2 linked regions of the Drosophila melanogaster genome follow. The protein of the gene in region 2 purifies or fractionates together with the protein of the main gene of each other region. This does not show direct contact. Each region holds a gene or a part of one and is shown on either strand. Other genes may lie near its edges.

Evidence for each region.
Region 1: the proteins of inv (region 2) and CG12112 purify together in Drosophila melanogaster (affinity purification with mass spectrometry, with the first as the bait; one large-scale study listed by BioGRID). This does not show direct contact.

The regions. Positions count from the first base shown.
Region 1 is NC_004354.4:8,554,693-8,566,927, forward strand, and holds CG12112 (uncharacterized protein), read right to left. Parts: upstream 5,501-12,235; 5' UTR 5,332-5,500; coding exon 5,229-5,331; intron 5,167-5,228; coding exon 4,961-5,166; intron 4,888-4,960; coding exon 4,734-4,887; intron 4,672-4,733; coding exon 4,529-4,671; 3' UTR 4,187-4,528; downstream 1-4,186. Other genes in the region: IntS4 (integrator 4), read right to left, coding at 861-1,826, 1,904-4,006; Trf4-1 (topoisomerase related function 4-1), read left to right, coding at 8,681-9,683, 9,792-10,472, 10,685-11,364, 11,605-12,235.
Region 2 is NT_033778.4:11,469,710-11,483,170, reverse strand, and holds the start of inv (invected), read right to left. Parts: upstream 7,464-13,461; 5' UTR 7,196-7,463; coding exon 5,902-7,195; intron 1-5,901. UniProt on the Drosophila melanogaster protein: Engrailed (en) and invected (inv) are functionally redundant transcription factors in neuronal precursor cell NB5-3 specification.

The sequences.
Region 1 (12,235 bases), on a different chromosome or scaffold from region 2:
ACTTTTGTGTGTTTGTGTGGTTTGGAAATCGATGTGTTTGTATTGTACGTATATTTTTCACAGCATGCTGAAAAATGTTTGCAACAAGAACTATTTATCTAACCACTCAGTAATATCCAACTTGATCAATTTACTTGCATATGATTATTACGATTATTATTGCTAACCAAAGGCCCAAACAATAACTTAAATATAACGCAGAATGAAATCGAAAACAAATGATAAAACAACAAGAATACAAAGTACTTTTTTAAAATGAGTTTTTAGCGAATCAAATATAAACTTAAGATTTAAAAAAAAATTCGTATACAACAAACAAGCATAAATGATAGCAGCGTCTACAAAATCCACAACCAGATCAGAAAAAGCAGGAGAATAATCAAAACGAGAAAATGGAGAAAAGGTTATCCAGAAAAATGATCAGAAAACGTGTAAGCTGTAAAACCTATAATGAGAAATAAACTATAGAAACTATATGAAAAGAACAAGTCTTAGGCATTTCATTCCCCCCCACAGTAAGTATTTTAAATGATGTACGATTTTCTTAAAGATTTATGGTACACACTTTATTTGAAATGAATTCATCTTAAACATATGATTATGATATAAGTAAGCTACGCACAACTGATGCTCTAAACATTCGGTTTTTTCGATTTAGAAAGAACTTTGGCAACCAACTGCTATGGTATCTTAAACAATCACATACATATATTTAAATAACAGTTGCTCGTTGCGCCAATTCCCTGGGCTCTCCTCCTCCCCCTCCTTCTCCTCCTCCTCCAGCGGCTGTGTGGCCTTGTCAGCTTCTCGCTCCGCGTCGCCAGGACAAAAAGCACCTAGTCCATTACCTGGAAGTCAGGCTAAATGCCCCGCCTGACTGGTTTGGGTGCGAACAGCACCTTTGCCGGCTTGCAGAGCTCCAGTTCGCTGCCGGGACGCACGGCCAGGCACAGTTGGATCTCCACCAGCGACGACTCCGTCCAAACGCTGTGCGACAGCAGGATTGTGGTGCGCAGGCGCACATTGGTCTTGTGCTCGCCCTGCTCCGTCATAATGGGCTTGAAGTCACTCTGCTTCGGCACCACGGTGTGCATGTGCTGGTCCGGATACTTGATCTTGATCCGCATGTCCGCCTTCTGGGACTCCAGCAGATTGTCGATTTCCGCAACAAAAGGAACGGCTGCTATCAGGCCAGCCGTGACCTTAATTACATTATCCTGCGATTGCAGCGGACACGGCTCAAGGATGTTGGCCACACAGCGGCGTATTTTGTCATTGGCGGGTGGCAATGCAAGCGGAGGAGCCTGCTGGACCAGCGGCAGAATTTCGCGAAAGACGCGACCCGGCTTGGGATCCGATATGCCATCCAGTTTGATTAGCAGCTGGCGGGTGAAGCTATCCGGCTGGGCATCCCTACTGACCGACTCTTTCATGGGCATATCGGTCTCTACCACCGGTGGCTTCTCCTCCTCATCCTTCGTATTCGCCTTGATGAACTCACTTATATCGCCGGCGGTTTGCAAAAGCATCTGGCACGGGCCCAATGCACTCTGTGAGCGATCCCTGACCACGAGGACCAAGTGAAGCGCGCAAGCCCTCAGGCGCAGCTGCTTCACCTGCAAGATATCGCCGTAATTGAGGCCGGAGAAAGTGTGCTGCAGCTTGAGACAGTTTCGGATGAGTGCTGCCAGTGATTCCTTCAAGGGCACCCTGCTTCGTTGCGTGCTGGCGCAACGCTGCATCTGTTCGATCTGGATCTGGGCCGCCAAGAAGGTCTCTAGAAAGTTTGAGGTGCCGTACATGCCCGCATCAATGGATCCCAGGCGCTAAAGTTTATTAAAAAAAAAACATAGTAAACATTAGTGTTCATTTATATTGTAGTAAGCCCAGCGGGCATACAAACCTGCAGATTAGATTGGGCAGTCTGGAGCAGCTCCAAGCGCTCGTCAGTCATGGTGAAGATCTCTTCGATGTGACTGAGAATCATCTGCAGGTACTCCGCCGAACTGCCCGCTTGGTGCATAGCCGAATCGATCCTGTGCGTCGCACTCGCCGAGGACGCACCCTCAATGGGCAACTGGGGCACCAGATTCGGCATCGAGTCTCTCAGATAGGCGTAATGGCGATGGGTGGCCGTGGGCAGCAAACTGATAATGGGCACCAAATGTTCTGCAGCATTGAAGACAAGTATCAGAACGCACAGATACGCTGGATCCTCGACATCGCGTTCGGGCGTCTCGAAAAAGGGATGCACGTAAAGCAGGTGAACGGCGACAGCCATCACCAAATGTGGATGCTTCTGGCCAATCTTGCGCATGCAGGCATAGGTGGAGTTACGATCCTGTGGATACTTGGCCAGCACATCTAGCAGCTTCTGCACCACCATTAGCAGGCACGTTTGTGTGGACACTCTACAGGCGCCCAGCATGAGATGTAGTCCCTCACGCACGTCCACGGAGTAATCCTCAAGCGATCCAAGCATTATCTCCAGCTGATCCTCGCGCAGCACTATGTGCTTGGCAATGGCCGTTAAACTATAGATGGCCTTCAGCCGCACATCCTCGATCTCATCGTTGAACATGTCCACAAGGAAATCTAGGCTGGTCACCGCGAAATCCGGTCGAGAGAGGGCCAGCTTGCACATGGAGGCCACTGCCGCAGTACGCACCTCGAGGAACTCATCCTCTAGGCCATGTATAAGGGCGCCACAGGCGCCGCTGGCTATAATTGAGATGCTCTGAGCATCGAGGTGCTCTTGCGGCGCATCGTCCGCCCACCGTTTACCCGATGACCACTCACCGCTGGCCACCAGGCGAGCACCTCTCTCGTGCGCCGTTCGCTTCCGGCGCAGATTGCTCATCAGCTTTTTGTCGAGTGTCTGGTGTAGGAACTCCCTGCTTACGGCGGTCATCCCACCGAGCAATTCCGCTGCGAGCACGCGAATTTGCAGCGATAGATCGCACAGGGCTTCGCAGACCTTGCTGAACGCAGCGTCTATCATGCGCAGCTCCTCCTGCTGGCGGTCCGAGGGTAAAATGTAGTCCGGATGCCGATTGCCCAGCATGAAGACCAGCTGTAGAGCTTCCTTGCGCACACACTCGTAGTCATCCTTCATGGCCTCGACGGCACGCTTATAGAGCACCGCCGGCAGTTGGGATCCCCGTTCGCCGAGGGTCAGCAGGGCGTGCAGAGCCTGGGCACGAACGCTCGAGTCCTGCGAGTCGATGTAGAAGGCTAACTTCCATACGTAATGACGCTCACCCTCCATTTTGGTGGCAAAACGACCGATTACCAGCATGGCGTTCTTCTGCGTATGCGCCGAACCGGAGCGCAGCTGCTCCTTGGCTAGGTGGGCCACCTGGGTTTTGTACGATATGGGCAACATGTGCTTCCTGCGCTCCCCGATTCGAAACAGGCACATCATGCCCTGGGCGAGCACCTTTTGGGACACCTCCTTCCTCAACAAGAAGATAAAGTAGTCGATGATCATGGTAAGCGCCTGCTCGGTGGCACACTCGCAACCCAATCCGGACAGCAGCTCGAGCAGCTTCACCCGGATGGAGGTGTCGCTATCGCGTTCCTGCAGCTGATACAGTTGGAAGATCTTGCTGGCCACCTCCTTAAGCTCGCCCATTTCCACGTCCTCATAGGATATCTCATCGGTTATCTTGACCAAGAGCTCCAGCAGTTCCCTGCTATTCGCGGCCGTCATTGGGGGAGCTCCAGTCGCCGCAGCCGGCGGATTTCCGATGACACCTGTTGACGGGGCTCCCGTCGAAGCAACTGGTGTCCCAGTGGGCAGGACCAACGCACCGGCGGGCAGGTTGCCCACATAGGCGTCCAATTGGTTGAGCGCCGTCAGCTTGCGCTCCACATTGCCCACTTTTCCGGATTTCCCGCCCTTGGCATCAGCGGCCAGCGTTTGCAGACGCAGCTTCTTCACCGGCGGCGACCCGTCCACCGTTTCCACGTAGGTGCCTACGCGCTTCTTAATGGCCAGCGCCATGGTTTCCTTTTCCTTTGCGCGATTCAACCAATGCAGACTAGAGTTGCACTCTTCCACCTGGTTTAGGTAAACCGCAAATTAGAGATGGCACACCACTGATGCCAACCACCCGCCACTAGCGATGGCATCGTGACCGCGCAAGAGGTTCTTGCTGGTGGATAACCCATAACTAAATAAATTGCTTTCACAAGAGTGATAATGCTAATATCACCAGGCATTTAATAATTATATTATTTTAAAAAAATGTGTCATTTAGTAATCATATAAAGAAAACGAGGCATATTTTTTGGACATTTCACTTTGAAGGCGTGAAACATCGATAGTATAGTGAAAAATCGATGTTTTCTTTTCGTCTTTTGTTTTGCTCTCGCTCTTCTCCATGAAGTGATAACTTCTCAACAAAGTGATGATGATCCATCAACCACTATTTGGGTATTCATCCTCAATTCGGATTGATTCGCCCGTAAATCATTACTTATATTTAAATCCTTGTTTCTACTATGTCATCTCACATGGGCACAGTTATGATTTCTCCACGCTCAAAACGGACAAGGGGTCATCATCTACCTTGCCCTTCTTTTTGGCTGCGCAATTCTTAACGCATCTCATGGCTTTGAATAAGACTTTTTCCGAGGGTAGCGTCGGTTCCACCTGACCGATGGCGTCTGTAGTTGGGGATAATTATTGAATGGATCACTAAAAGTTGGATGTCGAGCACTAAACTTACTCATAAGCGAACGAAACAGATGTTCGTGATCTTTTAGTCTTTTCTTTTTCTGATTCCCATCAATATTGTAGTTCAGAAGGATGTCCTCGGAGAAAATGAGTCTTATGGTGCGGCTTAATCTTCCCTGGCGCAGGAATTTCCGCATGGAATTCGTCTGATCAGGGATCATATAAGTACAACTATATAATATTCTATTGATGGAAAAGCATGAGGAAGGAGAAACTTACATAGATCCCCCTGGAGTCCTGGCTTATCTTGTGATTCACTTCGACCAGATCCTCCTCATACATAATTGGAAAATCATCGTCCGGATTTCCCTTCGCCTTCGGCTTGGTCGTTTTCATCGACTGCTTAACGAATTCCGTAAGTGTCTTAACCGCCCTCGTCAAGTTTTCGATTTCTGCGCGCTGCGACAGGACTTGGGAATTGAGTTCTAAGTGGGTTAGGTAATGTAATATGATCCGGTGTTATAAGATATGTATGTCACAAACATACCATCTATCTTTGTTAGCAGCATGGCATTGGCTGCGATATGACTATTCTCGGTGGCGAGGCAAAGTCTCTTGATTTCAGGCATTGCTTCGTTAATTTTTAGCATTAAAGTGAATACATATGTATATTTAGTTTATGAATTGAGGAAAGTCCCTAATGGAAGCGATTCGCTTCGCTACACAGTTAAGCTCCAAATGGAATTCCTCGCTGTTTCATCATTGCCTTCGCTAGGCGACGAATGGGAAAGTAAGGGCACGGGCAAAAACTCCCTCTTGCTCATCACATATGAGTAACTGGTGAATCAGTGATGACGACGTCTGATTAGCGGCGGAACTGTACAGTAGTACAGAGAACATGGTGAAAGCCAGAATATCGCATGACAACCAATCGCATAAGCCACAGGATAAATAATACTAATTGTTTATAATAATCACAATGTTTTTAACGAATTTAGTTGGTGATGCGTCCTGTCAGTTGAGTAGGTGGGAATAGCATGGACTTTCCCCAAATAACAAATGCTAAGTTGGGTTTTTTTAAAATTGATTTAATACATTTTTTTTATGTTACAGTTAAATTTGAAACTATATTTAACAAGCAATTTGGATGTCATCGATATTTTGTAATAGGACCATTCACTTAGCGGAGTCATCAACCTTGGCGAATCTAGCGAGCACATCCACCTCTCGCTTATCAGGTCTATCGATAACATCGCTCATCAATCGATTCGTGAACCAGCTCTATCGCGAAACGGTCGCGTGTTCGCACGCAAATTGCAATATAAATCCACAGAAATTGACAGGGAACGTTGCTAAAGGGCGAAAAACAATCGTGCCGCGATTGAGGCCTGCGATCTGCACAGGAAATGCACAATTGCGAAGCGCAATTTGATAAATTCGGTAATGTTCGATTCTCGAAAGAACCAGTCGTGTGCGTCTGTATGTGCTTCAAATGTCACTCTGTGTGCGGGTGTGTGGGGAGTGCATAAAAGGCATAGAGGCAGCAAGGAGTGAAAGAGAGAGCTCCATCGGCAGCGCAACGAAAGTGAGCGAGAAGCAGAAATTGTTAGTGCTTATAAGGATATGTGAGAAGGGAGAGTGAGACAGTAAGAAAGAACGGAAGAAGCAGCAGCGACGCCGACCGACAACAACTGTAATTTTCCATTAATTTTTGGGCGGGTTTTGTGCTGCACAATAATACAACTGGCATAATATAACTTGGCTTATTTTTTATAACCAACATGTGTATTTTGTTCACGTTTTGCTGCGTGTGTAGGTGTGAGTATATGTATGTGTGATAAACTTGAAATACAACGCAATCGCAACGAGAACCAAAACTTGTCAAGGTAAAACGGCTAAAAAAAAAGAAGAAACGAATTGTGTGTGAAAAATTCCAACTGAATTACGCGAGAAATCATGTGAAGAGCAGTTCGATACGCATGTGTGTGCGTGTGATAGAATACGAGGATGAGAGCGGGCGTGCGTTTGGAGTAGTCTGCTTAATTGATTTTCGCTTAATTACTGCAGCGGTTGCATAAATTAAATGTTTACATTTGCCCCGGACAGTGCTGTAAAGAGAGAGAGCCCTTCGAAGCCAGGTGGCAACACCGAGGCCCGTCTATCGATATCCACTGCAATTAATTACTCCGACTAATTTCAGCCTCTGTATGTTTTTTGCCGGTTAAAACAATAAATCGCTCTCTCTTTCTGCCTTTCTTCAATATCACTTCGCCCCGCTCTCTCACTTGCTCTCCTTGGGTCGTTAGCCAACACTGGCGAACATTAAGAAAGTGTTAATTTGCCTAAAATGTACAAGTACATGTGCGCGATGGCCTGCTGTAAATGTGTGTGGGTGTACGGGAGTTTTCCTCTGTCAAATGCAACTAAGTTTTTTTTTACCGAAAATTCAGCCAGCAAATGAAAATCGTATCGGGTAAAATATGCATTAGGTGTAGGTGTGTGCGCATTTAGCGGTTTCTCTGCCCATCTTTCTTCTCCCTTTTTTCTTATTGTATTATATTTTTTTTGCATAATCGAAGCCGCCTTTCGGTACATGTGCATGTGTGCTGTCCCGCTCCCACTCCCACCCCCATACTACGGCCACCTGTACGCCCTTGCACACTCACACACAAACGCACACACCCAACAGAGTCACACGCACGCTGCACAAAACTAGAGTAGCTATCAGTGTATTGGTGCGAGATATAATATCACTTGGGAAGTCATTTATTTGCGGGTCTCGGAGTCTCGTGAGCTGTTTTTCCTTCTGTTTTTTTTTTTCGAATTGCTTGTTGTTTTTATTGCATTTTGATTTGCTTTTCGTATGTGAAAAACCTTTTTGTTGTGGCCCATTTTTGTTTTTTTTTTTTCTAGCGCGTGTGTGTATGTGTGATTTTTCGCGCTCTGAAAAACAATTTTCGACTGGCGCCTTTAAACGCTTCAGCTGCAATTGGTTTGCAAAAAGGAGTGAATAAGAGCGCTCGCTTGAAAGTGGTGGGAGGGAGGGGATGTGTGAGAGAGCGGGGCATTTCTATTTGTAGAAAAAGAGCGCATAATTTGTAATAGTTTGCCATTTACGCTTTCCATTTTGTGTAAAATGCATGCAAACCCCTTTTAAAGAGCAAAAATAACAAGAGCAGCACCAACAACTACTGTTACTATTGTTTCCTTTCCTTCAATCTCAACCCCATTCCTTTGTTTATTTATCTCCCCGAGTTAACCTAAAACCTGTACATCAATAACAGTATTTTGATATCAGTATTTATTTGATTTATCAAATTACTTGAAGTTGACTTAGGATTATTATAAACAATGAGTCCCAAACTGGTTAAAGCCTCGAAATACAACTGCTGTAGATTATATCGAAATGTATATGGTTGTACTTAGTGAACAAATGGAGGGTATTTGTTCTTCCAGAACTTTCCTAATATAAGCCAATCTCTCTCTCTTCGCAAAACTGCGAACATTGGCATATTTATTGAGTGATAAGTTAATAATATTAATCAAATTAGGTGTTCTGCCTTGTTTCACATTAATTGTTAACAAATAAGATTGACAAGTCTACCTACTATACCAGAATATACCGAAATTAAAATGGCAATGACTTTAGTGTAATATTGTGATCATAACTGAGAATTCTATTGTTTTGAACCGTTAAACGTATGTAGAGGTAGTAGAATAGGATACGCATAACTCCTACTCCGGTAACTAATTAACATTTTTCGTGACACTCTTTACAGCACTTGAATGCTGACAGCATTCAAAGAGGTTTAGTCCCGGCAGCGACTTTAATTAATTTTTCCCTGTGGAGCACAAAGATCACATCGGATCTATATAGAGTCACGTCTATATATTCAGACCACCAGGACGCAGAGGATAGAGGTGAAAGGACGAAGCGAAGGAGAGACGCGCGCCCCCCTCGTTTCCCGCCCAGCCAACAGCCGTGTGAACCCGTCTTGAATGGATCCATTTGTTGGCTGGTTTCAGAAGGAACAGGAGGGACCATCGCTGTGCACATGGTTAAAGATTTGGGAGACGAATGCCCAAGAGATGGGCGCATTGCTTAATCAACAGCTACAGCAGGCGACGACGATCAACGGGAGCACGAGCAGCAGCAGCAGCAGCAGCAATAGTGGTAACAACAACAACAACAACAACAATAACATCATCAATAACACTATCACCAACACGACCAATAACACTGGTAACAATTCATCGGCCAAACCCTACTTATCGCGACCCTACAGCTCGCTAAATCGGGTGCTCAATTTCCGAGCGGATTCCCTGGAGATCCTGCAGCAGCAACAACAACAGCAGCAGCTCAACGGGACCACTCAGCGCAACAGCACCAACATCAATACCACAAGCGGCGGCAGCACTAGCTCGTCGGCAGATTCCACCACGAATCGGGACAATAACTCACCCGCCAATAGCAGTTCAACCAACGGACCCGGAGCAGGAACGGGAACGTCAACAGGAGCAGGAGGTACCGGTACAAATAGTCCGGCGACGACAGCGTCAAGCACAGCTGCGACCACGACTGGTCCAGCCACTAGTATGAGCGACACCAGCAACAACCCGCCACAATCAACGACCACGCCCGCCAGCCGCACGAACAGCATCTACTACAATCCATCGCGGAAGAAACGACCGGAGAACAAGGCTGGCGGAGCCCACTACTATATGAACAACCATATGGAGATGATCGCCAAGTACAAGGGCGAACCGTGGCGCAAGCCGGACTATCCGTATGGCGAGGGCGTTATCGGGCTGCACGAGGAGATCGAGCATTTCTATCAGTACGTCCTGCCCACGCCCTGCGAACACGCCATCCGCAACGAGGTGGTCAAGCGTATCGAGGCCGTTGTCCATTCCATCTGGCCACAGGCAGTAGTCGAGATCTTTGGCTCCTTTCGCACTGGCCTCTTTTTGCCCACCTCCGACATAGATCTCGTTGTGTTAGGTGAGTGAAGGGACGGTACTAGCTTTTTAAGTGGCCCCCACATGCATTGACTTTTTATTTATGCATTGGCTTTATTATCTTATCCTAATCTCTTCAATTTACTTTCAGGTTTGTGGGAGAAGCTGCCGCTGAGAACGCTGGAGTTCGAGCTAGTGAGCCGTGGTATCGCCGAGGCTTGTACGGTGCGTGTTCTGGACAAGGCATCAGTGCCCATCATCAAGCTGACGGACCGGGAAACGCAAGTGAAGGTAGACATATCGTTCAACATGCAGAGTGGTGTTCAGTCGGCGGAGCTGATTAAGAAGTTTAAGCGCGACTATCCAGTGCTGGAGAAGCTAGTGCTTGTGCTGAAGCAGTTCTTACTACTTCGCGATCTCAACGAGGTGTTCACGGGCGGCATCTCCTCCTACTCGCTGATCCTTATGTGCATCAGCTTCCTGCAGATGCATCCGCGCGGTATCTACCACGATACAGCCAATCTGGGGGTGCTTCTCCTCGAGTTCTTCGAACTTTATGGACGTCGCTTCAACTACATGAAGATCGGCATCTCCATAAAGAACGGTGGCCGCTACATGCCCAAGGATGAGCTGCAGCGTGACATGGTCGATGGCCATCGACCCTCGCTCCTGTGCATCGAGGATCCGCTGACGCCAGGCAATGATATCGGTCGAAGCAGCTACGGCGTCTTCCAGGTGCAACAGGCATTCAAGTGCGCCTACCGCGTGCTCGCCCTTGCCGTCAGTCCGCTCAACCTTCTCGGCATCGATCCGCGCGTCAACTCGATACTGGGTAAGTGATAGTCACGCTCTATTAGTTAATTAAACGAAAAAATACAAATATTTTAATGCAATCCAACAGTTCACAGTACAAAATTGCACATAGCTAAGCAATGTTTACTGCTGGACACGTTGATAACAACAATTTTGTTATATGCGCGTATATACACTAGTTTCGTGGAATCGATGTGGATTTGTAATGGTCTCCTTTGTTCGCTAATGCAGGTCGAATCATTCACATCACCGACGACGTGATCGATTATCGCGAATGGATCCGCGAGAACTTCGAACATCTGGTGGTGGTGGATCGTATCTCGCCGCTGCCCACTGCCGCTCCCACTGCGTACGCCACCGCCAATGGGGCGCCAAAATATGTGATTATGCCCTCGGGCGCCGTTGTCCAGCAGCTGTACCATCATCCGGTGCAGGTGCCCACCGCTCACGGGCACAGCCATGCGCACAGCCACAGTCACGGGCACGCGCATCCTGGCGCCCATCTGTGCCAGCCGTATGTGACCGGGACCACTGTATCTGCTGTAACGACGACTACAACGATGGCGGTGGTGACCGTGGGCGTGTCAGCCGGCGGAGTCCAACAGCAGCAACAGCAACAGAATGCGACGGCCCATACCCACTCGCAACAGCAGACACAGAACCAATCGCAGTCGCGCCATAGACGCGGCAGCACCTCGTCGGGCGATGACTCCGAGGATAGCAAGGACGGCGATGTTGTCGAGACGACGTCGAGTGCTCAGGAGGTCGTTGACATCGCGCTATCGACGCCAAATGGCCTGGCCAACATGTCCATGCCCATGCCAGTGCATGCTGTCGGAATGCCTGCGTCGAACAGTTGGAGCGGTAATGGCAATGGAAACGGAAACAGCAGCTCATCCACGGGCTCGTCGGTAATGCACACAATCCCCCGCCTTGACACATGATGATTGGTGGTGGCCGGCTGCCTAATGCCCAGGCATCAGGTGGTCGGCTATGCTCCTATGCTGGCCGCAGTTGAGTCCCGGTTGTATCTGAAACCGAAAGCCCAAACAAAATTTCATCCAAAGACCATGGGAGCAACTGCAGCCAGCATGACTAGAAGCAACAGCAGCAGCAAGCACACATATATAACCTCTTCACCACCAAAACAGCCGGAAATCGCACACATCGCTGCCCAGGAAATGGACCCCGAGCTTGAGGATCAACAGCAACAACAGCAGCACCAAGAGACTTCTGGAGGTAATGGCTTCATCCGACCGGGTGACGTCGGCACCGGTTCCAACAGGGGAGGCGGTGACGGCAGTGGCGGCCGCAATTACAACCAGCGGAACAACCACAACTCCAGCGGCTACTACCACCAGCAGTACTACGTGCCACCGCCGATGCAACAGCAGCTGAGCAAGTCCAACTCCTCCTCCAACTATCACCAGCAACACCATCACAGCCACAGCCATGGCAATCATAGTCACCGACAACAGCATCACCACCAGCAGCAGCACCACCACCAGCAGCGGCCGCAGCATCTGCGTGTGGGCGGCGGCAATCGATACCAGAAATCGTTGGGCGGATCGCCCATCATCAGTGCTGGCAATGCGTCGAACAGCAGCAGTAATTGCAGCAACAGCAGCAGCAGCAGCGGCAGCAACAACAGCCGACTGCCGCCGCTAAGGGGCACGCTGGTCAACTCATCGTCAGCAATATCAATCATTTCCATATCCTCAGAATCATCCATTGCTAGCAGCAGCTCCAGTTCGTCAAGATCCGGTCAGGATCAGCAGCGTG
Region 2 (13,461 bases):
AAAAGGGAGACCCTGCCCCATTGCGGAACCTCCCACGTATCTCGAAATATTATTTGCCTGATGAATGAAGTCATTTGCTTGTAGAAAATATTTTGACAGCTGTAAATATCTCCACACCCCACGACGCGCTGTTGCCTCGTTTTCAAATTAACACAAATGAAGTTATAAAAATGATTTTTATATGCCATGCCCAAGTTATACAATATGAAATCCCAAGCCCAAATGCGGAAACTTGTCTTTCATTTCATTTCAATTCAACATTTTTGTTAGGTTTCGCCTTTGGTTTTTTTTTTTTTTGTTTTTCGTTTCGGCTTTTGGCTTTTCGGCCAGCTTGGGTGGTCTTTTGGGCCTAAGCCCGTCGTTGGGTCTTGATTGTTGTGATCTTGAGGTTTGTGTTACATACGAAATTGAAATTTCTGAATTTTTAATATTTCTCTTTTGTCTTTTCGTTGCTTTACGACGGAGCTCAAGTCAAATGATAGATAAGCAGGCCGCAGTCTATTGAGTGTGAAATTGGGCGAAACTGAGAAGGTTGGGGTAAGTTGGATAACAGAGATTTAACACCCTAACTGTCAGGTGATTATAACTGTTCCTAGCTTGAGTTGTAAAATTAAGTTAAATTTAATTAATTTAATATCCAGCTGATTATAGATCTTATTTAAATAAAGGGACTGCGCCAAGAAAGTAATCTGCTAATTGAAAACGCACTGTGATGATTCGAGATTAATGATCAAAAGACATACTACAACATCAAAATACTCACTTGGCTTAGCAGAAGAATAGCAATAAATGCAATACAATAAAACTTAACAACTTTTTCATTTAGCGTTATATATCAATTTGAATCCTAAATGCCTCTAGCCGAATCATTTACCCTGTCTAATATACCCAGCTTTTTCGCTCTAGGTCAGGGTATATGAAAACAATTACAAAATGCCTGGCCGATGCCCAATTTGAGGCCATATTAACTGTTGAGCGGAAAATGCAACTGTCCGCAGCAGCAGCAGTTTCAGTTCACATTAACCAAATGCGGTCAGCAGTCCAGTCACAGTTTAAACGACATTTTTCGCTGCTGCCGCTGTTATCGTGCCGCAGTTTTAAAAAAAATATATATATGTATGTATTTGTACATATATATGGGGAGGGGGCAAGGGGCATGGGGCGATTGGGGCTGCGGGTCTGACAGTTTTATTACCAAGGCGCATGGCTGCTTTTTCCAGTTGCGGCAGTTGCAGTTGCCAAAGCCTTAAAAGGCGCTACTAGTTGTTGTTGTTGTAGTTGCTGTTACAGTTGTTGCCGCAGTTCGTTTTTGTTATTGTTATCTTGTTGTTGTTGTGTGTTGCTTGTTGGTTGTGCGATAAGTTAACAGTTGAAATTAATTTTTGTCACTTCATAAATCGCCGCAGTTGATTGCCATTGCCTTTTCTACCTAACACCCATCCTACACGGCAGGAAAATGCGTCTTCAAACAAAAGTGCGTAAGCTAAGTACACAGTTTGATTATTAAGCCAAACTTCTTAATAAACGATTATAAAATAAGTTAAGGAGTATAAGACAATACCATTTCCTAGGTAGTTAACATTTTTGACACATTTCATATGGTTGTTTCTTGTACCCATCCCTAGTACCATCTATGGTATGAACTTTGAATTCGTAATAAGATGTCTGAGCTGATCCTATCCTTTAACCAACTTTAGTTCTCTTCAAGGTGTAGTTCATTCTAGAGTTCGGATTGCTTTTGACCCACATAAGCCTCTCTTCTCGGAGCACCAAAAAGTGATTGAGTGAGCGTTTAAAGTGCGCTCGTTTAATAGTTTTCACCTATCTAACCACTCACTATCCACGAATAGAGCTTTCTTAAAGTGTTTGCCAGGAAAGCGGCTAACACATAGGCCGGTAAGTATTTTCCTCAATGGCTCAATTTGGCGGCCAAAGGGAGTGGGAAAAGCGGACCCGAGTTCTCCTCGAGGCTCTGGATATCGTGATTATCATATGACGTGACAGCCTCGCATATTTATGAATGCATTTGGGTCATAAACAACGGTGTTCTTGGTGCTGTTGTTGCGTTTCCAACGCAAATTGCGCACTTCAGACGTAAAATCGTTTTGGCTAAGAAACTTTACGTGCTCCTATCATTGATTGAGTTCTTTGATGGTTGCCAATAATAATTTCAGTCCATAATTCGGTATCAAATTGGCCCAATTGCATAATTTCAAAAATATAGGGTTGGGAGTGCAGGTTTATGGATGGAAATAACATCACTAAATTAAGTTTTAATTGAACGTGTACAGTTTGTCTTCAATAAATTTCTATGCATTAAATTAAAATAGAAACAGGGCTGAAAATTACGTTATTTAATCTAAACTAACTAACTCGTTTTGATAAAAAAAAAATAAAAGAGGTACTGCCACTTACTAAAGTGTCAGAAAAACACTCATACCATTTCGCTGATAAAAAAAAACGAATTGGACCTGCTCCTTCCAACCCCTTCACCACCTTTTGTTTAGAGCAATTTCCTAAGTAAATTTCCCATTTAGAACATGCAAAGGCAGCGCAGCCAAAGAAACTTTTCCAGCAATTTTCCAACGGCAAGAGCACGGAGATGAGAAAATCGGAGGCTTTTCTGAAAACGAGGGGGGTAATTGCAGGACGGTGTAATTGAAATTCGTTTGTTTATGTTGTCATTGTTGTTGTTTCTGTTTCTCTGGCTGCTCGGAAAGCGTCTTCTGCGCAAATTGAAAATTACTTAATGGTTCAGTGGCGATCGCTGTCGCTCCCGTTTTCCCGCTGGCCCCTTTCCCGCTTAATTTTCCCGCTTGTCGCTGTCTCGGCTACTGGTTAAATGAGCTCAAAGTACCGGACAAATGCGAAAATTGCCTACCAACGGCAGGCAAAGGTCAGGATGGGGGTTCTTGGAAGGAAGAGGTGAGTATCTGGTCCCAACCAAGTCATTCCATGCAGAAATGTCTATTTTGTAGAAGGGAACCGAAGAGTCAAGTAAAAGCTGGGTCAGTAAAAACAGTTGTGGGCGGAGCTGGGTACACAAATGTGTAATGAATAGGCAAACATATGACTGATCATTCACATTTTTTCCCACTATTTTGTAACTCACTTTTAAGGGAGATACAGAAATAAACTTTTTATCTGAAATAAGGCTATGTATCCAGTAATTAAATATAGTGGGTTTGCCATTTTTTAGCTAGGTTTTAATGATACTCCTCAATAAGTTATTACGTTTTTGCCAAAGGGAGGCACAAAAAAGTGCCCACTGTGTATAAGTTAATTATGGCCTATTCTACAAATGCGGTTTATGTTTAAGTCGAAGCAAAAAACATACCACATCTTTTTATCAGTGGATTGAGTACACATTTATTTATCCTTTAGATCTAACATAATTAATTGCTACATCAAAGCAGTAAATAGAGCCACTCCCACTCAGGCTCATGCTCCAATAAAAATCATAAAATATGGCCTGGCAATTATTGAGATTGAACGCAATCTTGTATCGATTATCAAATGCTTTTTGTGGTTTTAATACAATGCCATTAATCTGCATCGAAAATGGCGCACAAATAGACGGCACATATGCAGTCCGACAGCTTCCCATATGTTAGCCATATATCATGTGGCCCACAAATGGCCGTTAAGTGCAATTAACTAATTTGTTGTCGAATGTACGTTTTTGGCAACTGTTTTAATCGCCTACGCGCACACGGAATATGTTGCATTAATTTGTCAAATTAACACCTTTGTTGTGGATTATAAAAACTTTGAATATTTTTTCCCGACAACGGCAGCAGTAATTTTTCAAAAGCAACAAATTTATGACTTTTATTCGAGCTGGCATTTTAATTCGCCGATTTTGTAGCTGACTGGCTCAAATCTCACGCTAAATCATTGTTTGCCATAGCAGCTGCAGTCACAAGCCAACTCCGTACATATAGCCCATATAGCGCATATAGCCACTCCGAAAATGATTCCGAATCGGAGGACCAGCGACGCCATCGCCTACAACATTCATTCAAATTATGGAACCGCACTGAGATCGAGATCTCGTTTTAGTCACGCTAAATTTATACAAAAAGCGCTTGGAAAAAAACCTAAAAATGAAACTGAGAAAATGAAAAAGCCACCACAACAATAAACACACCTTAAAACCTCGGAGCGAGTGAGACGGGCGACTGCAGAGCGAAAGAGACGGCCTGTGTGGAGGGGAGCAACCAAAATCGTTTCGAGTTAATTAGCGAGCGCGACAAAACCCACCCAAAAGCGTAGATTTATGCACTCGGTATTCGTTTTTTTTTTTTTTTTGGGGATTCAGTAACGAGACTCCCCCAAAACTCTCTAAATAAATATGAGTTTGACATCCATCAGCGTAATGAGTAAATTGCCAAGGAATTATTCGGATCCGAGTTTATTTGGGCCAAGCTTCTAAGTTGTGTAATTGGGAATCAGGTAGTTAGAAGGGACGACTTTTGATGGATGAATTACAATTATTTACTGATATTTCAACGTTACTTTCTTCAAGCTGGTGTATTAAGATCTATAAAACGTGTGGATAATTGGCTAAAAACTGTCGTAAGTGCTTAAACAGCTGAGCTCGGCAATCTTACAAATTGCATTCAATGATACTTAATAAAGCAATTAAATTTAACTAGTTAAAGATAAAGTAACTCTCGTAATTATATGCCCATTTAAGGCTGATATTGTAATTGAATAATGCTATTGTCAACTACTCTGTTGAACACCAAAGTTTAGTAAGGTCTTAAACGTTTTAATATTGTGTTATAATATCAAGTATCTGTGATAAAATGCATTCAGTCTATTGAGTAAACCTTTGGCAATTCATTACCGATAATAAACTAGCTGAGCAAGCTAATAAAGGTAAACACCTTAACCAAATGACTGCCATCAAGTGGCTTAAATCACTCTCCATTCGCCACTTGAACCACATGATCCATGGACTTACCCGAGATTCCAGGGGATTAGCCAAAAACTATCAAGGAATCCGAATTGCTTGTTCAAACAGCAATAAGCCACCCCATAAATGAGCATATGGGGCACTCCCACCCATCCGATTCCCCCCCAAATTTCAGCCATGAAATTATTAGGCAAACGATTACGAATTCCCTGCGGTGGCATAAACTAAATTCATGAGAGTGCCATGATTGCTGGGAGATTGTTTTGGGGTTGTTCTCGACGGGTTGGGGTGGTGCTGCACACACAAAAACACACACGGGGTGGGTGGGGTGTAGCGGCATAATGAGCTTAAGTTATGTTACATAAGCCATAAGGACATGAAAACCACTCGAGCAGACACTTCACTTCGGGGTGAGTGTTCGCCTCCCTTTCGCTCGCACTCACTTCATTTCGGTGGTTGGCAAACTAATGAGCTGTGGGTTGCTGTGGTTTGGCTCCGTTCGCCGGCTCTTCTGTGGTGTCTGTCGCTTGTTTGCACAACCGCTTTATGAGCCACCACTCAACAGCTCGTCTCCTCGAGTGTGTTTGAGTTTGGAGAAAGAGTGAGTGACTAGCAGTGCACTGCTTTAGCATAAGATGTAAGATGCTTTAGAAAATGCAGGAAATATCCATAGAAACATATGCAAGTAAATAAATTTTGCCAGGATCTACTACAGAATATCTATAATAATACTGGCATGGTGCTGGAGAATCGTATGTTAACGAGAAAACTTGAAACCAAAGGCTTTTCTTTCAAGCTTATGAAGATTAGTATTCAAAACACCAAAACGTAATTTCATAAACTATATTTGCATTCACAAAGTTCATAAAAAGTACGTTAAACGTAGAAATATACAATATTATTTCATCAATATTTGTACTTATGTTTCGCTAGACAACTTAGATAACTGAAGCAAAATTTTTAAAGAGACTTGGACTCACCTGAGCTGGGACGATCGCTGTAGCGGGTGCAGTAGACCCACGCTGGCCAAACGATGGGAGTGCCGGAATCCTCGCCCGATTTACCGGATGCTCCTGTGGCACCCGCTCCTGCCGCTGGCGGTGGCGACTTGACCAGATCCACTGGTGCCCCCGAGGTGTTCGTCGTGCTGCTGCTGGTGGCGGTGCTATTGGAATCGTTGCTGTTGCTGCATATATTCGCCAGCGAGCTGGAGAAGCTCAAGCTCGAGTTGGCGGCGGCGTTACTTTGAGCCAGATTCAGTGGCTTTCCCGACTTCTTGGGCGCCTTTAGGGGAGATCTGTTGCCATTGGTATTTCCAGAATTTTTACTGCTGCCAGTACTGCTCCCACTTACACTGCCACCACCGATATTGCCACTTAAAGCACCAATCTTGGGCAATCTGGAACCAAAGTCCGCCTTCAGGATATTGTCTATGCTGAATTTGAGCGCCCTTTCGTGCAGATTTTCATTGTTATTCAGGTGATTCTGCATGTGATGATGGTGGTGGACCTGATCCCTTTGCAGTAGCAATTGCTGATGGGGATGCACCGCTCCACCGGGTCCCAGACCCAATGCCGTGGCCGTCAGCTGAGCCAGTGCATCCTGACCGCTGGGCACTGTGGCAACCGCCGCCGCCGCCATTGCCATTTGCAGCTGTTTTCCCGCCGCCGCTGCCGTGAGAGCGTTCACCCTGGCGGCGGCCATTAGATGCATCTGCTGTTTCATCAGCTCCTCGGCGTACAGCTGGGACTTTCGCAGGAACTCCTCCTGGAAGGTTCCAGTGGAGGGAGGCAGTTGCAGGAGATCTTCGGGTGAGAAGGGCGGACCTTCGCTGGGCGGCAAAACAGTGGTAGCAGTGCTGCTGAATGCCGACGGTCGATAGATTTGGCTGATCAAAAGCCTCTGCCTGGCCTGAGCTTGAGCGGATAGCGCAGCCTGTGCTGCTTCCGATTGTTCCTGGCCCACACTCAAGACACTATTCTCACTGCAGCAGCTGGCCGGATCCTCCAGGTCCAAATCGTGCTCCTCCTCGACCTCTTCATCCTCTATGTTCAGCTGCTCCTCGCACTCCGTCTGCTCGTCCTCCTCCTCCTCCCGCACTTGGGGCGAGTTGCCCGGCTGGACAAGCGGCAAGGGCAAGCAATCCGGATGCATTTTACCTACTTCCTGGCCACCTCCGCCCGCTCTCCTCTCCTGCGCGTGGTCCTCTGCCTCCTCTAAGGAAGGAATAGTCAGCTTGAGCGGGGGCGGTCGAGTGCTGGCCAAGGTGGACATCAGTTTGAGGGCTTAGGTCTTCAGCTCGAAAGTTCACAGGGACCAAAAGCCGACGGCATTTCAGGGCAGCCAGAAAGCATTAAAAACATTAACCACAGCCAAAAGATATCACTTGGATTGGCAAATACGCCGCGCTATCGTCTTCGATTGACAATTGGTTTTTGGGTTGGGTGATAAACTTGTCGATACCGACGTTAATCCGCTCGTCCGTTAAAAACGTAACGTGCGCTGTTACGAACCGCCGACCAACTGATTCTCTCGCGAACTGAATAGCAAAGCGAGACGGCTGCAGCTGAGAGCCGATTCAAAAAGAGAACTCTCTCTCGCACACGCTCTCTCTCACTCTCCGTCCTGCTCTGGCTTTTCGAACATCCAATCAGCGGCTGCGGGGCGTGCCCTACTGTTGTCCCGCTCGCGCACACGGTCAGCCGCCTGTCAGTTGAGGTTATGTTAAGTGTTTGTATATTTGTTAATTAAGTGCGTCGTCGCCGCAAAAAGAAAAAAGCGAAAAAGAAGGAAAATAGGGATAAGAACTCCACTCCATTTCCATCTGCGCCTTGTCGTTTTGATTATGCGCTGCAGCATTTAAGTCGTAAATCTCACTCTATGTAGGCTGCTCTCGCCCTCCTCCTCCATCATCATCACTTCACTCCCCCTTTCTTTCGCTCCTCTTTGCGGTCTGGCATCTGCAGTCCTTTTTTGCTGGCATCCTATCCGCCGTCCAGCATTATATACCCACACACACATATGGAGTGTGTGCCTGTTTATATACAACACATGCCACAGCTTCCCCGTCTCCTTCACTCCTTCGCTTCCTTTTACTTATTGTTCTTGTTGCTCCGATACAACGAACATTTTTGCGCTTTTTGATGTCATTGTTGTTGTTAGCTGCGCTTTATAAATCACCACCACAATTTTTGTTGCCCCAACATCTGCCGTGATTTCATAATTGCTTTTGATGCTTTTTTGTCGCCGTTTTATTGTTTGTTGTCGTTTTGCCTTCACACATCCCATCGGACAACATTGATGATAGTTCTGCGTAAATGAATACCAATACGTGTGCAATTGCATACGCTTAATCATGGGCGTAGATTCAAAAGCACTGGGGGGATAATGATCAGCTTGCTGGGTTTCTACTGAACACCTTGTCCGGCATTTAAAGACCTCTTAGTAATGCCAAAATAATTGTAATTTAAATTTGGTCCCACAAGCTAATCAATCTGATATCAATAAAAAAATCAAACTTTGATATTCATGATTACTTACATAAGACATTATTTTTAGAATTTAAGTCACTTCGTTCATGTACTATGGAAATTATCCTCCATTCCTGACCAATTTAAGTAGCCCCTTCTCCCGCCAATGAAAATTTGACATACGTTTGCTTGGGCTTGTCTAATTGGCGAACATACTGCATTGTTGCTGTGCTTTGTGCTCATAAATCTGTATTTAGCTTTCCTTTCAAGTATTTGAGACATTTTTGTGTGTGTCATGTGTGGGGTGAAAACGAGTTTGCCTTGTTTGAAGTGAGGTTGTGCAGGGCATGCCGATCACTCTTTTAATTAAATCAGAAAACTTTGTTGTAGTCCACGAAAAGATTTCTAGGAATGGCTGCATTCATTTGCATCATTTGCTGCGGACCTCTTTAGTGACACAGCCGAAATCGGTTAATGTATCATATTTCATATCTGAAATCGACTATCAAAGTTGCACCTTTTCTCCGTTATCGCCGACAGATTGGACATAAAATATCGGAATTCCAGCGATCTTTTTATCGCTGCTGTTGAACCCATAAAGCCCGAATCATGGAGTTTTTCGGGCTGTCCGCGCTTTATTATCGCTTCGAATCGTATTGGTGGAACCACGCCCCGAAATGCAAAGCAATCCAAGCCAGTTTAATAACTTTGTTGCACCATTACAAAGAAGCCAATGCCAGATGCCGACACTGCGATAGTATAAGCACCGACAAACGAATTAATCAGGCTTAATTTCCAGCCCTCGACAAAAGAAACAATTATACGCAGTATGATTAGGAAAAGGAATGGAGTACAAGAAAATAGTTTCATACAGTCGAGCTTCTGTCACTTAACCCTTACCATTTATTTGCCTAAAGACCCGAACATTACCTAATACAGTATAATTCGCTTAGCTGCCTCGAGTACTTTGCACAATGCCTCGATGCAGGTAACTTAAAAATGCAGCTAACTTAATTTTTTTTTTTTAAGGAAAAATAAAGAATTTATTTCTTTATAACAATGTTAAACATAAAAGGAACTGATAATTTCATTCTTAATGATAAGTAAGATCGACATATAAATTTAAGTGATGGTGAATTGATTAAAACACTTTTTAAAACTAACTTAAAAATAGTCAGTAATTTTTTTTTTGCAATACAGCTGAGTTTATATGTAAATTAAACAGCTTGTCTTCCATAGAATTCAAGTTTTGCAAAAACTCATCATTATTGTTTCGCATAAAAATGGACTTTAAAGCCTTAATTGCTGCAAACCCATCCTTAAAAGTAGGACGCTCAGTATCGTCCACATCTTCATCACTATGGCTTTCTTCGTTATCGCTGGTTTTTGCATCTTGAACTAAAGAGCGCACGATTTCATCATCATCTAATTGACCATGGCAAGCCTCATCTGCATCAACATTGGCATATTCATTCCAATTAATATTCGATACAATGTCAACTTCTACGCATTGTTTGTCTAAGTCGTGCGCTCCTTTTCTTTGACGCTTTCTTTTTAAACCTGACGCGGCCACAGCTTCATGAATTTCATTTGTTTTTTGTAAAATGCGGTTGACTGTGGATCTGTCGCATTTGAACTTGGCACAAATTTCCTTTTTGTCCACTTTGTTGGTCACTAACTCGATTATTTGAAGCTTTTCCTTTAGTGTTAGTCCAACGACACGCTTTGTTTTACCCATTTTAATAACTTTGTGTCATAAGAAACAAAAACACAAAAATCACGATCAAAGCAAAAACAAAAACGGACATGCGCAGATACTGAAACGAGTTGGCATTCTTGCCATCTTTTAGATATGCAAAAATGATTCATAGATGGCGCAGCTAACTTTGATGATATTCATTGAAATTGGCAAAAAAAACAGCTGATATGATGCACTTAAGTTAAAAAGGCTGTTATCTGCGATGCAGCAAACGTATGAATTTTCGTACAAATTTTCTATTCACACAAAAAAATGGAAAAATAATGCAGATATCTTGCCGATGCAGCTAACTATCGATGCAGCTAAGCGAATTATACTGTACTGATCATTACCACTGTTTGCGTGACTTACCGCTATCGTAGCTCCAAATTTTAATGTGCTAAATGGCTGTTTGAGTTACAGAAGTTTGACTGTGGTAACCCAAGACCACGAATTATGAATAAAATTAAGCGCAATTGCTCAAAATGTCTGAAAAGCCAACTGATTTCACCCGTTCGCTCCCCTTCACCCCAGCCATTACCTGCAGATTCCATCCGAAGAGGAGACATGATTAAAGCCGCGCACGAAACGCTTTTCACATAAAAGACGCCGCGGAGCGTAAGGCGATCTCGCTAGTTAATCGCGCAGAAAATCTTCATCAGAAATGGACGGAAACCGAAGGCAAGCAAGAGCAACAAAAAGCTTCGCAGTAAAGTTACTCAAACTAAAATAAATACAATCAAAACATGAAGCCTACAACGCAAGCAATAAGTAACAACGACAACACAACGACAACGACAAAAGAGCAAAGCGCGCCGGCAAAACATTACAAGACTGCCCCTCTATCTGCCTCTCTTTCCCGCCGCAGCATCAGCTCCGCCGCCAACAGCAACAACAAATAGCATAATCGCGTCGAGTGAGCCGGCTAACTCCTCCACCGGCCGCCCCTAACAGCTCCCCACTGGGCGCACAATTTAGATGCGCGGCAATAGATAAACTTAAAGAGGCTTTTATTTAAACAAAGCGCAGCAGCATCGCAAGAAACGGCAATGAAGCTGCTCACTGAGGCAGACAGAGAGTGAGATTTGGGCTCCTGGTGGAGCGGATCTACCAAAACGGAGGTTGGGGCGACAAAAAGCTTCAATTTAAACGGTGCATCCTCAACATTTTGAATTAAGAAATGGAAATAAAATAAAAAAGCGAAAAATGTTACTGTGACATCGTACGATGCGATAAATGTCCATATTTCCATATTTTTTCACAAGTCGATAGTTATCAGGAATATGTATATGACTGGGAGTCATCTATTTTACGTTTATTATGTGCGATTTTTAGTCTTTAACTTGAATAATTGACATCCCTGTTCGGGCGCCACCTACACATACCAATAAGCTTTATAAATTTTTTTTTTTTGTTATAATTACATTGAGAGAAACCTTCTTTTTATTTATTTTTTGTGGATTTTACAACGAAAAGACTATTGAATTATTAAAAAAAATGAGCTTTCAATGCAACTAATGAGCGCAGCTTTGCAGGATTCCTAAACTACAAAACATATAATTGTTCATGTTATATGCGAAATGACTTTCCCAGTTTAAGGCAGTAGTATTACGACAAGATTTCCCTCGTCGTCCTCGAATTCGGCCCTGTCCCAGCTAGCAGTAGCTAAGTGAGCCGCGCTGGGGAGTAAGAATGGGGACCCAGAGTTGAAGCCTGATCTCTAAGGCCCTGCTGCTGCTGTCGGGCGAAGCGCAAAAATGTATGTAGCTTACAAACGAGCAACATCAGAACAGAAACAGAAACTGAAACAGAACGGAGCGCGGATTGGTGCTCTCTTTCTGGCCCGCCAACAGGATCGATGGCCCTCGTTAGGTTCGCGGCTCTTTTTGTCAATCTCATAGGATCGTGGTGCTGTCCCACTAGCTATTTAAACGACAGATGTGGCTCGCTGCAAATGATCAGTGTAGATGTGGCTATTCCTGCTACCAAAATGTAGCAACTGTCGTTGTGATTTTGCCGCTTTTTGTCTCTGTTTGCGTTCGTAGAGCTGCTGCTATTCGAGCTGATCTTTTAATCGAATCGTAGCATTTATTATGTTGCGGCTGGGGATTGGATGTGGATTGGAGACTGTAATTGTTGTGATTTTGTGGCCAGTTTGTCTAATGTCGTTTAGCAAACAATGGACATGGCTGTGTCATAAGTTAACAAACAAAAAAACAAGCCGAGCAACAAATAGCTGGCATTGATTGCGAAAATTCATAATTCGTCTTTCCGTTTGTGCAATTTTGTGCTTTGACGTGCGTTGTGATTCGATTCGATTTGATTTTGTTTTGATTGCATTCAATTTCTTGTCTCAATTGAAATTTGCATAATTTATTCGTTTGAGAGCGTGTAGCTCTAATTGCAATTAACACGTGACGACGGCAGTAATCATCATCACCACCTCCATCATCATCACCGTCGACAGTCAAACTCCCATTCCATTATCCCATTTCTCGATTCCCAACTCTGTTCCACTTGTCGACAGTTTGAAGAGAAAAATCAATAACAGGCATGTGGAAATTGTATTTAATTGACAGTTAAATGGTTTTCAACTCGCCATGGAAATCGATTGGGCTTGGCCCGCAGATGCCATTGGGGTTGTTGGAGCTCAAGGGAAGGGGGTTTTCCGAGGGGTGGTGCGTAACAGCCAATTAGCAGTGGAAAAGTTTTCGAGGAAAATTAATAAGTAGGAAAAATACTGTACATGTCAGAGGGAGGCAACTGATTTGTCAGCCCAAAGCGAAGAGGTGGTTTTTCAAAAAACAGGGCGGAATATTTAAAGCAATTTAATCTGAAAACGATTAATTACTGGGTTGGAATTAAAGTGCCAAATAAATATGATTGCTATGAATGAATAAAATAAATATATTTTTAAGTTAAAAAAAACTTCTACAAGTTCCGTCCCTGCTATACATCATTTTTGCAATCAGACATTGTATAACTTTTGAACCTTTTATGCTTTAGTATTCTTATAAGCGTTATTAAGGATTCGCATGTCTTGCGGTTCGCTTTAGAGTATAACCCTTTCTTAAACTCTTACCTACTTCGCTTCCATTACAATTCCCCAAGGCAAATAAATAAAACGCGACATTTGAGCCCAACTGACAATCACCTAATTACATGCACAAACACCGCCGCACACACTCTAATTGAAGTGCGAGGAGTGCGGCGACACAAGGAGCGAGACGGCCGATGGCAGGGGGAAGTGGGGTAATTGCAAGGCGATGGCCTGTCATCAGTTGCCGTGTGTGTAGCTGTTGTTGTTGTCGTTTGGGAACGCTTAAGCAAAT